4 linked regions of the Arabidopsis thaliana genome follow. The main gene of each other region encodes a partner of the protein of the gene in region 2 in a complex. Each region holds a gene or a part of one and is shown on either strand. Other genes may lie near its edges. The genes, in order: NdhS, NdhN, PnsB1 and NdhO.

Region 1 (3,326 bases), on a different chromosome or scaffold from region 2:
GAACCTTCTCTTGACCATCTGAAACCCAAGGCAGACGGCGAAGAGTGAACAAATTCAACATAGTTGCTGCTCTTTTCAGGTTTCTGCGAGTCCGTGACTGGCTATAAGGCCTACTCTAAACAAAACCACCCGAAAAAACAATTCATTTCAGCTCAGAATTTCCCTTCTTAGCATATTTATTCGCTAACAATTTACCTCAGAGAACTATCGTCCTTTGGCTGCGAAGATGATGGAGTATCGTGCTGAGAAGATTCTGCTGTGGGACTAGGAGCACTAAAGTGATCAGGTAATATGTTTAGCTTCTTAGGAGTACCATCATCCATGAATTGAAACGACTCCAGAACCTTCCACTAGAAAATGAATCAAAGCTTAGCCAGAGATGAAACTACTCTAAAACTCTCAGCTTGTAGTACATTGATTCCCCAAAAGAAGTCGAAAAAATCACATAGTTAAAAACTTTTTTGTCCATTCAAGAGATGTCATCTGAGCATGATCTAATCTAGATTCTGATATGAGACAAACTCCTATATGAACTTTAGCATTCCATGAACATTATTTAATCTCCCTAAATGACTTGTCTCTCAGTCTCTATCTTATGCTTATTCTTATCATAGATCTAATCCACAAGTATGTATGTATCATCACTTGGAGAGATATATAACTACTAAAAATCCTTATTCCTCACTGAGGATCAAACATACCTCTTTATATATCTTTCAACGCCGAATTTTACAATCCCACTTCACCAGAAATTTTGATATCCCTTGTGAGAAATCAGCTCGCTGTAAAAGAAAAACAAAGTTCAGCTTCTACAAAAAGAAAGAGGACGAAAATGAACTCTTTCTTTTTCCCATTCTAGATTTTATTAGCTCAAATTAAAAACAACAGAATCGAATTTTCTGGAAACCCTAACAAAATACAAAAACATTGAGCAGAAATAGAAGCTCGGAAGTCGGAATCGAATGACGGGAACCTCGAATAATTTGAAAAAATTGACTGAAGAGAAGATCGAGACCTTGTTTTTACCTGATCGAATGTGATCTCTGTATTCAAGGGAAAGTGTTTACGCAATTGGTTTTTTGGTTGAGTGCTTACTGCTTCAGCAGGAAGAAGATGTTGGGTTTGGGAATTTTACTCATAAAGAAACTTTAAATTTGGTACCAAAAAGACGCTTTTATCCCCCGGTTAGGTTGCGTCAGCCAGCTCTACCCACATGGGCATTGCTGCAGATATTACAAGTTTTGTAATTTGTTAACGAATGTTTGTAAACTTTTGACTAATCTTATCTACAATATAATGAATTTATCGAATCAATGTAAAAGTTGTTTTCATTCATGCTTAATACATTAATTGATCAAAGTTGCCAACTAAGTATTTGGTGATGCCGATGAGTGTAAAGGACAGCCTAAGACAAAAGTGTATGTCTAATTATGATTTGGGAGTATGGGATTCCAATTATTAATGTCGTTGACCCAAATGATTTATCTTCTTCTTGCTGCTTTTTTCTTAATAAACAAACAAATCCACATTATTAGCATTTAGCAATATGTTTAATTACATTACCATTGTTTTTAATCTAGGCCCATATCTCTTAAGAATATTCAAACTTGGTCCAGGTTAAACTTATGACAAAGCCCAAATGTTCCTACTCTTTCTCCTAAATCATTATTCCAAACACCGGTTACGCATTAACCGGTTCAGGTCCACTGGTAATTTGGAAATAGATAGAACTCATCTAACTGAAATCATGATATGTGGTCATTATAACAAGCGAATCAATCACACGCTTCTTCCTTCCTCTTCCATCTTCTTCATATCTCCCTTAGTCACCTCTACTCTACTCTGCAGGCAAAAATAGTTATGGCGACTTCTTCGATCACTATCCCGACCATTAGAACTCCGATTCATCGATCAAAATTTCTAGGCCAAACACATCAATTTTCAACTGTAAACCGGTCGGTTTTCCCGCCTCCAAAACAGCAGTCAAAACTGTATCAAGTAAAGGCCATGGGTAAATTCAATCTATGGGAAGTGATGGGAGGAAGAGGATTATGCAACGGAGAGAAAGGTATTGAGAAGGAGCTCCAGAGGAACATTGAAGACGAGCAAGAGACATCAAAGGCTGAGAACAACGAGACAGAGAGAGAGAGCGATGACAGTAACTTGTCTTTTAAAGTACCTGAAGATGGTTTCGAGAAAGAGATGATGGGTCTCACAGGAGGATTTCCCGGTGGCGAAAAGGGTTTAAAAACGTTTATCGAAAAAAATCCACCACCTCCTCCACCACCACCACCTGCAAAACAAGGAAGCGATGCATCCGCGGTTGCTACAGATAAGAAGCCGAAAGCGCCCAAGCTACCCCTTCTCATGCCGGGGATGATTGCTATAGTCAAGAACCAGAACAGTCCGTATCACATGTATTGTGGAATTGTGCAGAGGATCACTGATGGAAAAGCTGGTGTCTTGTTCGAAGGAGGAAACTGGGACCGTCTCATTACTTTCAGGCTTGAAGAGCTTGAACGAAGAGAAAAAGGTCCACCGGGTAAGAATCCAAAGTCTTGTATTCTCGAGCCTCTTATCGAACAGATGCAAAAGGAAGAGGCAGCACCATAAGTGATCTTCTCTTCTCTGTATGTAAGTTCCTGTGAATGTATATGTAACGTACCTTTGCGTTTTAGGCTACAATATTTCTGACTGGTTCTAAAAGAGCTTCATCATGTGATATAAAAAAAAGAATAAACGATGAATTTCAATCATAAAGCACTTAATAATAGAGATTCAAATGCACTCAATCAATGATGAATCAGTATAGAAGTTAAAAACTGCAATGGAGTAGTTTTATTGTTATCATTGGTTGTTGTAAACATCAACCATATCAGTTTCTTCTTGACTATCGAGTATATTCTGTAAATGGTAAAGATGAGAAGTGATCCACCATTCTTGTCAACAGATCATGTTGAAATGATCAGATGCAGCCTCCCAACTGTAAAAAAAATTCAGAAAAGGATAAGGAAGTTAGAAACAGAACAATATTATTAAATCATGAAAAGGGTTCTCTCAACTTGTAATTGGTCACATAATTATAACTTAGTAGTTGGTCACACATTATACTGTTAGATACATGTTCATCTAAGTGTTGTTATACATGTCAAAATGAAGTTACATACCAAAATGGCTTCCATTTCTTCGTTTGAAACTGGCGTGCGCTTTGGCTGCGATGATGCCTTCCCGCCAGTAGTCTTTTGGATGTTGTTCAAATTGGAGAAGAACAATGTATCAGCTTCATTTGCCACCTGACTCTTTCCCTCTGAAGCTGCAATGCCAGA
Region 2 (3,856 bases):
TGGTTCGCCACTGGATAAAATAAATAAAACCGTGAGCAAAGCGTTTGACACCAAAAAGATTTGTAACAAGATAATGAAAGTTGAAGAGAATGTATGAAGACAACTATCCTTCTATACATCATCAAACCTAATATCACAACTAGAATGATTTAAGCCGATCCAAAGAGTTGATACAGTTAAGATTAGAGAAGCTTAGTAACGAATTCCAGAACAATGTATACTATAGTAGTTTCTTAAATAAAATATCACAGTTATTGCTGGATTATCATGATAATAACGCAAGTATTGCATTATAGTTGGCATTGAAAAGAGAATACCGAAAAAGGCACAGTACCTGTGTCACAGCTAATGTGAAAACGATATATGATCCAACGGAGAGAGAAGTAATCCAGGCAAAAGCAGCTCCAAACTTGTATGCCAGTATACCTGATACCATAGATATCTGAAAGATACATATTAATTACGTCGAGTGTTTTTAGAGACGAATGAATAGTGAAATCCAAATATGAATGAGCAACTGCCAATTATTCAAAATGAGAAAAAAAACAATGATCATGAGAAAGCACCAAGTGGTCAGACAAGCTTTACCTCCAATATGGTAGGAACAACATTGAAAACCATAGCTGAGAGGATAAAATTTATTGCACGGCTACCACGATCAATAATCCTGTTCAAGCCGCCTGTTTCTCGACTGGACATAAGCAATTAAGTAAGGAAGTTATGATGAGATGAATCTAAGATGGAATGAGCGAGACTACTCACAAGAGTAAGAGAGGAGAGATAGATACCTTAGGTGGTAACGAAGGTCAAGATCATGTAAATGTGAGAACACCTGCAAAGCGACCATATGAAATTGATTCATACATTAAAATATCTCTATCGACAAGATAGTTTAGAGCAGCAGCAGCATACCTTTCTAGAAACAGATCGTATTGTTCGGAGAGCTACCTTAGAGAACACAGCAGTACGAAGTTCTGCGATGATGAAAAGTAACAACCAAGAGTGAAAAGTGCATTCTTTTTTAAAGAAAACTAGAGCTATTGAGAGTTACCATTAAAAGCAGAAGAACCCGTCCGAGCAATCCCGTATCCAATGAGAACAGCAGCAGGAGTAGCAAAAACAGTAAGAAGAGTTGGGTTTGTAGCAGCGAAGGTGGTAAGTGAGGCTCCAGTACCGGTAGCTGAAGCAAGCCAATCAACAGCTAATTTGAAGAGGAAAGGGACTTGGACATTCAAGACCTTAGCACCCACGAGAAAACCCAAAGCAGCGATGACCCTGAAACGGAATTCTGGATTGTCTCTCATCCACAAATAGCCAGCAAGCGTACGGAGAATCTTCATGTCAGCCATAGCTGAGTCTGAATCCGACGAGGTTGTCTTGATTTCCTTAGTCTTGGTGGTGGTTTGGTCTGGATTGGGAGTAGAAGTCGAGAAGAGACGACCATTAAGCATTGAACTCCGTTGAACAAAACGAATTGGGGATGGTGATGGTGACGGGGATGGTGAGTTATCTGAGAGGAAGGCATTGATAACCGGAGATGTTCGAATTGAGTTACGTCTGATGTAATTGGAGAAACCATTATGAAGACGATAATCAGAGCGAAGACTGTAGGAAAAAGATGGGATTTTGGGTTGAGGTTGAAGATTAACGCGACAGAGTAAGAGCCCAGGAGCCCTAACGAATCGAGATCCTCTCGACATCCCTTCTTCTCCGAAAGTTTCACAGACTGAATTTTGCTCCGGCGAGCTAGCTAACAATGTCACGACGTTCGGCGGTGCTTAATGGGCCTAATAAATAAAGCCCAATACATTTTAAGCCCATTAATGTCTATCCCTTTGTGGAGTGAGTCGTCGTTTCTCCACCATTCTTTCATCATCATCGTCGTCAAGCAATGTTTATTATGAGCTACTTCCACAAGAAGTCATTGTTAGTAAAGAAATGGGAAGCCGTGCAATATGTATACAACGTGTGGCACCACCGTGTTTTGAAGCCTCGCAAGTGAAGAAGATCAAAACAGTTGGTTCCTTTTTGGTGAATACTAGGAGTAAGAGAAGAAGAAGCACTGGTGTGAAATGTAGCAGCATAGCTGACTACATCGGAGGTGACTTGGTGAAGCCGGACATCGGACAATGGCTTCAAGACGTGGAAGAACACAAGGCAATCGCCATTTACGCTCCTCATGAGGGTGGTTACGAAGGTCGTTATCTTAACCGTCTCAAAATGCAGGGCTACTACTTTCTTGACATCTCTGCTCGTGGCCTTGGTGACCCTGAGACTACCCTTCTCAAGAACTACCCTGTTTGCCCTGTATGTCTACTTTCATCCATCTTCTACTTTAATCTTGTTTCAATATAATTTTGTGTGAACCATGTATCTTCTCTTCTTTTAGGCTCATCTTGGGAAACAACCTATAGCAAGATGGTATTATCCACCAGAAGTTGATTACAGGCTCGCTGCTCTTCCCCCTAGTGCCAAGGGTCTTGTTGTATGGGTCCTCGAAGCAAAGGTTTGAGTTTCTCTCATTTGATCTGTTCTCCCACATGCTCTTTCTCATATTTCCATTTCACTCAGGTCCTCTCAAAATCGGAGCTTCAATTTCTCGCTTTACTTCCCTCTCTTCGTCCTAACGTCAGGGTTATTGCTGAATGTGGCAACTGGTGAGTATATCATTCCTTACCATACACACTAATCATCTATGTTTGCAATTTGCATGACCATTACCAATTCCCCTGCAGGAGAAAGTTCGTGTGGAAGCCTCTAGCAGAAATTGCAAATCTAGCTGCACAAGAGTAACTTAATGGCACAAGTGGAGCTACCAGTGTATAGTTTTTCATGAATGCATCTCCCGCAAGTGTAGCAATACTCATCCCATAGTAAAAGTTAAAATCTGTATTTGTAACTTGGTAGTATATTCCCATGGAGTAGTTAAAGATAATTTCTGACTCTGCTTTGTCACAAATAAAAGTATGTATAATCAGTAAGATTGATAGGACACGCTTAGATACAGACTACAGAGCAATCCAGAAGTACAACATAGAACACTTGATTCAGCAGAAACATGTGCAACTTACTTTGATCAACTCCAGTCACTAGACCTAACGAGTAACAACATGTTCCGAGTCCACAAATCGTTTTGAAAACCAAAAAATTCAGATCTTTTGCAAAGTTCTTCAGCGAGTAGGCATATTGCCCTCCTGTGACTAGACAACTTAATACCTAGAGCTTTAACTGAAGGTTCTTGCCAATATTCTCGTGAGAAATCAACAAATATGGTCACCCTTAAGACTTTGATGGAGCTAAATGTGAGGATGCTTTTTGTTGTCTAGTTCTATGCTTAACCTTGAGTCAGTGACGTATCAAACAGGCAACTTTGAGTAATAGAAGCTACACTAGGAAAGATATAGACTTGGATAATGAGCTCAGTAGTACAAAACTTTGAAGCACTAAGACAAAGCTGAGATTGGAGAATGCAAAAACAAGACAAAAAGCAAAGTTCTATACTGCAGATTCTTGGGTTACTTTAGGCAAGAAGGTATCCCACCATCCAGGTTCATACTTGGGGTATGGCGCCACCCAATTTTTAGGCTTATCGAACTCAAGAGTGGTAGGATTGGAGGCCAAAGCTTCATCAAGAGAGGTAGCTTCAAAGGAATCATACAGAACACGATCCAATCTTAACTTCATAAACCTGCCATAAAACAACAAATTGCAAAACACAAATGCGTTAGATAAGGAGGGAGTGAGGAACGTAATTTTGAAAAGAGAGAGATTGGGATTAGGGTTCTAACGTGATCCAGGTGCCATTGGTGGAAACAAGAGCAACAGCAGGACGACGAAGTCTTTGAGTAATTTTGGG
Region 3 (4,508 bases), on a different chromosome or scaffold from region 2:
AGGATGCCACATACTTGTCGTCATGTACAGGAACTCCCCATTCTTCGTCATGGAAAGCAACATAGCACGGGTCTTTACAACGTAGAAAAACGCAACATTATTAGTCAATTTACAGCAGAGAAAGATATGAAGCATGAGAGAACAACAAAGAATAATGGAAAGTGCCTCTTGGCATGGAAACATTTATGCTCATTAGTATAGAGAATCCAGAAAACGCTGTTTGGCTTACACTAAAAGCATAAACGAAGTGGATCTATCAGCTAATCAAAACATCCTTCATCTAAATTTCATGGACACTGAGAAGTTAAAATATTTATAAGAGAACTTCAGGACAAGCTACTTCATAAGTTATGCAACATAGCAAATGATCTACACAATGCTCACTGAATAAAATACATAGCAATTGAAACATTTTGTTGGCCATTGAATTACTTAATATTCACATACAGAAGAACATAATTAGATCAAACAAAAAACACTAGCTCCTTGTCTCAATTCAGTCCCATTTGATTCAACTAGATAAGAACTTTATCATCTCACACAATCAGGCTAAACTCAATCTCACATTCACATTTTCACTCATTTCATTTATTTGAATGCATCTAAAGTCAAAAGCTCTCTCACTATGCAATGTGTGATAGGTGAAAGTTTGATGCTTACCAGCTTTAGGTGTGATCCAAGCACACCTTTTACGACCATCAGCGAAGCAATCACCAGAAACCTTCTCTTCTTCTTTCCCAACACTCAGCTTCCTTGTAGAAGAGACAGACCCACTTCGCCTCACAACCTTCTTACAGCTCGAAGAAGACGCCACGCTCAAAGGCGATGACTCACACGAAGACGAAGCATCAGAGGAATACGAAGCAGTCATTGAAGCACTATTCTTTCTCAAAATCGAAGAGCAAAGAGACGAGCATTGCTTCAGAGTCGTCCTTGGTGAAGCCGGAGTAGTTGGTTTCTTCGCTTTCTCATCTTTTGAGTCGATGATGGTCTTCTCCATCATCGGCTTCTCCAGTTTCATCCCCGGTGGTTTCCTCTGCAGCTTGTTCCCGGTAGGACCAAGAACTGATCGGAACTCTCGCTCATCGGAATTTACGGACCGGAATCTAGGAGGAACCGACATTGACCCGATTCTCACAAAAAACTGCTTTTTGATTTCACAGATCTATCACTGGATCACACAACAACAACAAAATTGCTATTTCCAACAGTCTCGAAACTTATTTCAAGAGATTATATATCGGAAGGCCTAGACTTTACAGCTACATTAGCACCAAAAATGAAACTTTTTTGTCACCGCTAAATATCTCATTTTTAGGAATCTTCTAGTAAAACTAAACCAAGTTGCTTGCTGTGTTCACGAGAAAAGCAAGGTTAGAAACAATGAGCAACAAAATAAAATCTTTGAACAATGAAGAAAAAAAAAGCTTTTGACTTCAGAAAAACCCAGAAAAAAAAAAGAAAGAAAGAAGCTTTTTCTGATCGACGACGAAACGAATCAAATCGAGAGAGAGAGACGAGGAGAAAAGGTCATTCACCAGTCACGACTTAACACGTCATCGTTTGGTTCTTCTGCTTTTTCTGTTCTTTTGTTCCTCGACCCGACAATGAAACGGGTCCTTATTGCTCGACCCGACAAGTTAAATGGTTTAATTGCTTACTGTAATCAGTTGGTTAATGCTTCTGAGTTCTGAGATTAGGAATGTTTCTTTGCTCGTGCGTATCAACCAATGTAAAGACAAAAGTTTTAATTAATCGAACAGAGAATAATTTCTGGAATTGCCATAACCAAAATAAATAAATTAAATGCTAAGTTTTCTTCTATGGTCGGAAAATTGCCACAAAAGGGACCCACTTATCCTAAGTTCCTACAGAGATCTGTTTTCTTTCACAACATTTAAAAATCCAAACTTTTCTTTCTTTGGCTCAAAAAAACCTTCCAATGGCTTCTTCACTTCCTCTGTTACCCAAACCCATTTCCCCATTCTTTAAAACGCCGCCGTTTTCTACCTCCAAACCACTCGTCTTCCTCAACTTTCAAACTCGTCTTACGTCGAGATCTTCCGATGTATCGGTCAATCTCAAGAAGAAGAATAATCCGTGGCTCGACCCGTTTGATAGCGGTGAAGACCCGGATAACGAATACGGGTCCTTGTTTGCCGACGGAAAACAAGACGAGGATCCAAGACCACCGGATAATCCTGATAACCCTTACGGCTTCTTGAAGTTTCCAAAGGGTTACACCGTCGAGCTTGCTTCTTTACCGTTGAAAATCAGAGGAGATGTTAGACGATGTTGCTGCGTTATCTCCGGTGGCGTTTACGAGAATCTACTCTTTTTCCCGACTATTCAGCTAATCAAAGACAGGTAATAAAAGTATAAGACTCTGTCTCCGATTCGACATTTTTTTAAAACCTTAAACTGAAATGCAGAACATTGTCCGTACGTTTCTGTTGTTTTGTAAGGTATCCTGGTGTTCAGGTAGATATATTAACGACTGAAAGAGGAAAACAAACATACGAGCTAAACAAAAACGTGAGATGGGCCAATGTGTATGATCCGGATGATCATTGGCCTGAACCAGCTGAATACACAGACATGATCGGACTCCTCAAAGTTTGTAACTTTCAAATATTTCAACGTTTTTTCTATCTTTCCTTTATCAGACTGCTTAGTTAACTTTTCTTTTAAGTCATGTTTCAGGGAAGGTACTATGACATGGTTCTGTCCACGAAGCTAGCAGGGTTAGGCCACGCAGCGTTCTTGTTCATGACAACGGCTCGAGACAGGGTTAGTTACATTTACCCGAATGTTAACTCTGCAGGAGCTGGTCTGATGCTGTCCGAGACCTTTACAGCAGAAAATACCAACCTTTCAGAATTAGGTTATAGCATGTGAGTTCCTTGAAACCGAAGAAACTGCAGGTTTTTTTATCGCCTGTCTAAATTGACTGTTGATGGTTTCAGGTATACTCAGATGGAAGATTGGTTAGGAAGACCGTTTAGGAGTGTTCCAAGGACTCCTCTGTTGCCACTTAGGGTATCGATTTCACGGAAAGTGAAAGAGGTTGTGGCTGCAAAGTATAGGAATGCTGGAGCAGTGACGGGGAAGTTTATAGTGATTCATGGTATTGAATCAGATTCTAAGGCATCAATGCAATCAAAAGGAGATGCTGATAGTTTACTTTCACTTGAAAAATGGGCTAAGATTATAAAGGGTGTAAGGTAATTATTACACACCTTCAAAATGTGAATTTTTTGCTTAGTTTGAAATTCTCTGAGATATGATTGTGAACAATGCCAGGGGATTCAAGCCGGTCTTTGTGATTCCACATGAGAAAGAAAGAGAAAACGTTGAAGATTTTGTGGGTGATGATACATCTATAGTGTTCATCACAACACCAGGACAGGTATGCATGCTTATCTGTCTGTATTTGTTATGAACAAAGTTGAATTCACTGATCTTACTTTGATTCCTTTTCTTGAGCTTACTTAGTTGGCTGCTCTGATAAACGATTCTGCTGGAGTCATCGCAACAAACACAGCTGCGATTCAACTAGCTAATGCGCGAGACAAACCATGGTGAATACCTGAGTAATATAAAGAGTACTGATTCAATGTTTTCAAGAACTAACATGTGTGTGCTTCTTTTTCTTCCAGTATTGGGTTGTTCTCTTCAGAAGAGAAAGGGAAGCTCTTTGTACCGTATGCAGAAGAGAAGAGTAACTGTGTAATTATTGCTTCGAAGACTGGAAAACTAGCAGATATCGACATTGGAACTGTTAAAAATGCAATGCAGGTCTTTGAAGGATCATTGGCTCTCGTGTAGATAACTTTACAGTTTCTGAAACAAGTTCTATATATAGAGCATTTATGTGTATAAATCAGTTATGTAGTCTCTGTTCTGATGTTGGCCTCTCATCAAGAATTGGATTATTCAGCATCAAAATCAGGTTCCGGAGGCTTTTGCAGATTTATCAAGGTCTTTGAACTCTCTGAGCTCCTAAGTCTGTGCCCTTTCAATGCATTAGCAGCAAATCTTGATGCAAATATCGTTGAACGCAGTCTAGAAGAAGACTCACTTCTTGTGATAACCATAGGCCTCTTGTCACTCTCATCATCATATTCATCTTCATAACCCAATTCTTCTTCTTTTTCTTCAATCCGTCTCAATTCAGCGTTTTTCCTTCTTGAATAGCGACGCCAAGCAGCTTGGATGAAGCAAGAAGCCCAAGTTCTCCATTGCTGAGAGTAAAACCTAAATGTTTGTTGAACCTGTCGACTATGAAGTCTCCTAAACTGACTTGCTACAAACTTCAGCTCTTCAGCTTCAAGAGCGAAAGCCTCTACTTCAGTCAGAGCCTTCACTGTTCTTGTGGAAGAAGGTAAGTTTGAGCCTGCTTTAGGGTCAAGAGCCCATGTCAGAAGCTCTTCACCACAAAAGTCTCCTTCTTTTAACAACCCTCTGTTGAAGAAACCGCTTCTTCCCCCATCTGTTGTTACACTTTC
Region 4 (3,598 bases), on a different chromosome or scaffold from region 2:
TAGGAAAAGGAAGTAATACAAAAGTTTAGAATAAGCCAAAAGATTAAAAATAAATAAAATCTAAAAAAGCTTTAAAAAAAAAAAGGAAAAATACATAATAATGGGATTAAATCCTTGTATGGAGAACAAATCCAAACCCTAGATTCTCTCATTCACCGTTCACCAATGGGAAAACCCAAAAGGAGAAATCATAGGAAACCCACTAACATCACCATCACGTCAATAGTATTTTTGTGATGATGAAGAATTTATCAGAAAATGGAAGTCAAAGACAAAGCAGAGGAAAGGATTGTTTAATGAAGTTGTGAGAGATGAGATTGGCTTTGTGTCTTGTTACTCTCCTAGTCACATACATAATACATTGATTACGAGGTGAATTTGAAACATGTTGGCACACTTCCGCTTGTCTTCGTCGTTTAGAGCACCTAAATTTACCATCATCCGTCCATTAGGTCAGTAGTTATATTTGTGATGATGAAGAAGTTTCCGGTTTTCGGAAAGTGGAAGCCAAAGACAAAACCAGAGGAAATTTTATGAAGCTGTGAGAAATGAGTTTATGTTGGGAGATCGATGAGATAAAATTACCATCATCCGTTTACTGAAGCTGCATTCTTATTATAGGAGTCTGATGACATATTCCACACTCCACAACAGTTTTTGTAACTAATTGTAACGTTGATACTTTGTCAAACTCTTGAACACATGATCATGATGGTGCGCCATTGTTATCGTTCATCTCAGCTTAACACAATCCTTGGTATATCAGTTGCATTCCAAAGGATTCTTCTTGGAACCTTCTTGACTCTACATTCGCTCGTAAACAAGTTTCTCACACTGCGGTGGAACAAAAACCAAGAACACAGAAACAATCATGACTTGACATCAAGACAATGCTACGTATTGTTGATGTACTGAGAAAATTATGAGTACCTTGATGAGCATATCTGTTGGGAGCCAAGCTGGTGCGGTGGGGATACCAACCCATCCAACCTAAAGTCTCCAAAATTCACAATCCATTAGCTCATCTTATGAAACAGAATAAACAATTTGTGTGGAGACTGACTTACAAGTGCATACTCTCCTGTCTCAAAGACACGAAGGTCCAAGACCTGCAAGATTTAGATTACTTGTTCAATAAGCTTGAAATCTCTTGTGATTTATTTTCAAAAGGGATTGTGTTATACCTCGCCGCGATCTTCGTATATGTAATCAAGTCCTTTGTAGAAAGGAGGATGTCCAACTGATAAGTACTGTAATTTCAACAAATGTAGCAAAACAAAAGTTTCAGAAACAGATTTTTGAAGAAGCAGCTTCAAAACTGGGAAAGATTTCGACTATACATTGATGCTGTTGAGGTACTTCTCTTTTTCCACACGAACGATTTGGCCCTTCTTCACTGTTTTCTCATCCACCAGAAACAGAAATTCAAAAGAATTATCAAAAATCTGTTATTGGATTCAACACTTAGAAACAAAAGTGAGGGAACAGACTCGAGTAAACCGGTTTCTTGGGGAGGGTTTTAGGGGTTTTGGTTGCAGCTGGTGATGCTTCCCCATCAGACTTGCCCTGTGTGCTCTGTTTCTCTTTCTCTGCTTCTGCTTTGACTGTGAATTGAGGAAGAGATCGATGAGGGAGTCTTCTAGAAGAAATTGGTAATGAAGAGGAGATGGTTGAAAGAGAAGAAAGCTGAGACACAGTCGCAGAGAAAGCCATTGGAGAGACCACCAAGAAAAAAAATTATGTGTTCTTGGAGTTTCGGGATAAGACCGCAATGGTATCCAAGTCTCTCAACGGTCTAAAACAGACATCACTGAACCAATCATAAGATGCCACGTAAGTGCAAACAAGTTTCCTCTGCTATACAACTAGGAATATAGTAATAGATAATGTATTCCAACAAAGATTATATTCGTTTTTTTTTGTTTTCTGATGCTTGAAAGTTTATGAATTATAAACACATACAAGTGAAATCGTGTATGTCACATGGAAGATCATATACAAAATCTTTTTACGTGTACTTTTAAATTATATGTTACATTATAGAATCTAATTGATCTGGTTGTGAAGTAGGAAACAATATATATACTGTAGGCAAAGTATTTAATTTTATAAAATTGTTTAAATCATATTCACATTGATCTCCTTTTGTTTTAACAAAAAAAAAAAACAGAGTAATAAGGTGAGCATTAGAATCTAGACTTACATAGTTGCATATATCAAAAATAATGTATATTACACAAGGAAATCAAGAGAAAACGTGAGAAAAGATTGAGCTCAATCATTTAACCCCTAGACTCTAATTTGATCCTCTTGGAAGATGGAGTGTCGTCATCAAGGGAGGAAACATCATGAGACGACGATGATGAAGATGTTGATGATGATGATGGAGATGAATCAATGTCGTTTTGTAGGATTCTCTTAGGACTAAGTTTTTTGGTTTTTCCTTCTTCAGCTTCACCACCTCTCATTATAAGTTCTTTTAAACGCTTCACATCAGCTAATTTCACCGGTTTTAGCAAAAACTCCTCTGCTCCTTCTATCATACATCTACAACAACAACAACAACAAAAGAGAGGATAGACAAAAAAATCAGATTACAGTGTTAAGATCCATTGATTCAGTTTTGTATCTTTAGCTATAGTGACTTACTGTTCTATACGAGGTTGTATGTTCTCAGAAGACATTATCACTACTGGGATTTCTCTGAGTGCTGAAGACTCCTGGCAAATATACAACAGAATTTTTGTAAGGAAAACACGAGAAGAGCTTATTCAAATCTTGCTCTAATAAATGACACAAAATAGAAATTTACTTTGATCTTCTTGAGGAGTTCATATCCTGTTAGTCCCGGCATTGAATAATCCGTCACTATCAAGTTCACTTTCAAATCCTGTTATCAAAATTTGCAAAATTGTTCATATAAACGGCATCAATAAACAAATAATAAAATCATCCTCTAAAGGTTAAACTTTTGATCCACATTGTGAAACCTTAGATTTCTTGGGAGCCAAACCAGCATAAGAACACTTCAAGTTTCAACGTCTAGGGTTGATTTTGCTAGAAAACAGAGAGATTCTAAGAAATGAATGAATATATACCTTAAGACCAGAAGATCCATTGTCTCCATCTAAACCAAGATACTGCAGAGCCCTAGTCCCACTCTCAACAGTCGTCACTATATAAAGAAACCCACCAAATTTATCCAAAAAAACGAATCAGAAACCAAACAAAAGAAAAGCAGAAAACGTAAAGAGAAACAGTTTTGCCTTTTACCTTTACAAGCAGAGATCTTAAGCAATCTCTCAATAACTTTACGATCCACGAAACTATCATCAACGGCAAGAACATGTAACTCCGGTGAAGAAGAAGAAGATAAAGAAGAAGATAAATCTCTGAGAGCCATTGTTTTCTCTCGGGAAAGTAAACAACAAAACAGATGAAGAAACGTTTAAAGTTTGAACGTCAAAGGACGCAGAAATCAATGTGAAGAAGGAAGACGAGGAGTTACATAAATAAGAGAGAGAGAGAGAGAGAGGCAGAAGCGGTGAGTGAGATACATAAATAAATAGGAAAGAGAAAGAGGAGGAGATTTAAGGAA

What was found.
Region 1: NdhN (region 2) and NdhS share a complex: the UniProt entries of both Arabidopsis thaliana proteins name them as parts of the chloroplast NDH complex.
Region 3: NdhN (region 2) and PnsB1 share a complex: the UniProt entries of both Arabidopsis thaliana proteins name them as parts of the chloroplast NDH complex.
Region 4: NdhN (region 2) and NdhO share a complex: the UniProt entries of both Arabidopsis thaliana proteins name them as parts of the chloroplast NDH complex.

Annotation. Positions count from the first base shown.
Region 1 is NC_003075.7:12,419,880-12,423,205, reverse strand, and holds NdhS (NAD(P)H-quinone oxidoreductase subunit S), read left to right. Parts: upstream 1-1,741; 5' UTR 1,742-1,860; coding exon 1,861-2,613; 3' UTR 2,614-2,792; downstream 2,793-3,326. Other genes in the region: AT4G23895 (Pleckstrin homology (PH) domain-containing protein), read right to left, coding at 5-110, 196-323; AT4G23885 (uncharacterized protein), read right to left, coding at 2,966-2,983, 3,168-3,313. UniProt on the Arabidopsis thaliana protein: NDH shuttles electrons from NAD(P)H:plastoquinone, via FMN and iron-sulfur (Fe-S) centers, to quinones in the photosynthetic chain and possibly in a chloroplast respiratory chain.
Region 2 is NC_003076.8:23,560,012-23,563,867, reverse strand, and holds NdhN (oxidoreductases, acting on NADH or NADPH, quinone or similar compound as acceptor), read left to right. Parts: upstream 1-1,866; 5' UTR 1,867-1,938; coding exon 1,939-2,307; intron 2,308-2,389; coding exon 2,390-2,506; coding exon of another isoform or gene 2,507-2,512; exon of another isoform or gene 2,513-2,571; coding exon 2,572-2,657; intron 2,658-2,735; coding exon 2,736-2,793; 3' UTR 2,794-3,300; downstream 3,301-3,856. Other genes in the region: ABCB25 (ABC transporter of the mitochondrion 3), read right to left, coding at 1-10, 335-442, 589-691, 789-832, 913-974, 1,052-1,700; EMB3143 (YCF54), read right to left, coding at 3,496-3,688, 3,789-3,856. UniProt on the Arabidopsis thaliana protein: NDH shuttles electrons from NAD(P)H:plastoquinone, via FMN and iron-sulfur (Fe-S) centers, to quinones in the photosynthetic chain and possibly in a chloroplast respiratory chain.
Region 3 is NC_003070.9:5,487,372-5,491,879, forward strand, and holds PnsB1 (NDH-dependent cyclic electron flow 1), read left to right. Parts: upstream 1-1,773; 5' UTR 1,774-1,942; coding exon 1,943-2,367; intron 2,368-2,465; coding exon 2,466-2,616; intron 2,617-2,703; coding exon 2,704-2,894; intron 2,895-2,966; coding exon 2,967-3,224; intron 3,225-3,303; coding exon 3,304-3,409; intron 3,410-3,495; coding exon 3,496-3,581; intron 3,582-3,659; coding exon 3,660-3,828; 3' UTR 3,829-3,932; downstream 3,933-4,508. Other genes in the region: AT1G15970 (DNA glycosylase superfamily protein), read right to left, coding at 15-72, 661-1,123; CNGC7 (cyclic nucleotide gated channel 7), read right to left, coding at 3,933-4,508. UniProt on the Arabidopsis thaliana protein: NDH shuttles electrons from NAD(P)H:plastoquinone, via FMN and iron-sulfur (Fe-S) centers, to quinones in the photosynthetic chain and possibly in a chloroplast respiratory chain.
Region 4 is NC_003070.9:28,129,308-28,132,905, forward strand, and holds NdhO (NAD(P)H:plastoquinone dehydrogenase complex subunit O), read right to left. Parts: upstream 1,771-3,598; 5' UTR 1,714-1,770; coding exon 1,491-1,713; intron 1,397-1,490; coding exon 1,341-1,396; intron 1,251-1,340; coding exon 1,185-1,250; intron 1,110-1,184; coding exon 1,068-1,109; intron 991-1,067; coding exon 931-990; intron 835-930; coding exon 805-834; 3' UTR 521-804; downstream 1-520. Other genes in the region: AT1G74875 (F-box protein), read right to left, coding at 354-438; ARR15 (response regulator 15), read right to left, coding at 2,283-2,547, 2,650-2,720, 2,813-2,890, 3,099-3,175, 3,274-3,403. UniProt on the Arabidopsis thaliana protein: NDH shuttles electrons from NAD(P)H:plastoquinone, via FMN and iron-sulfur (Fe-S) centers, to quinones in the photosynthetic chain and possibly in a chloroplast respiratory chain.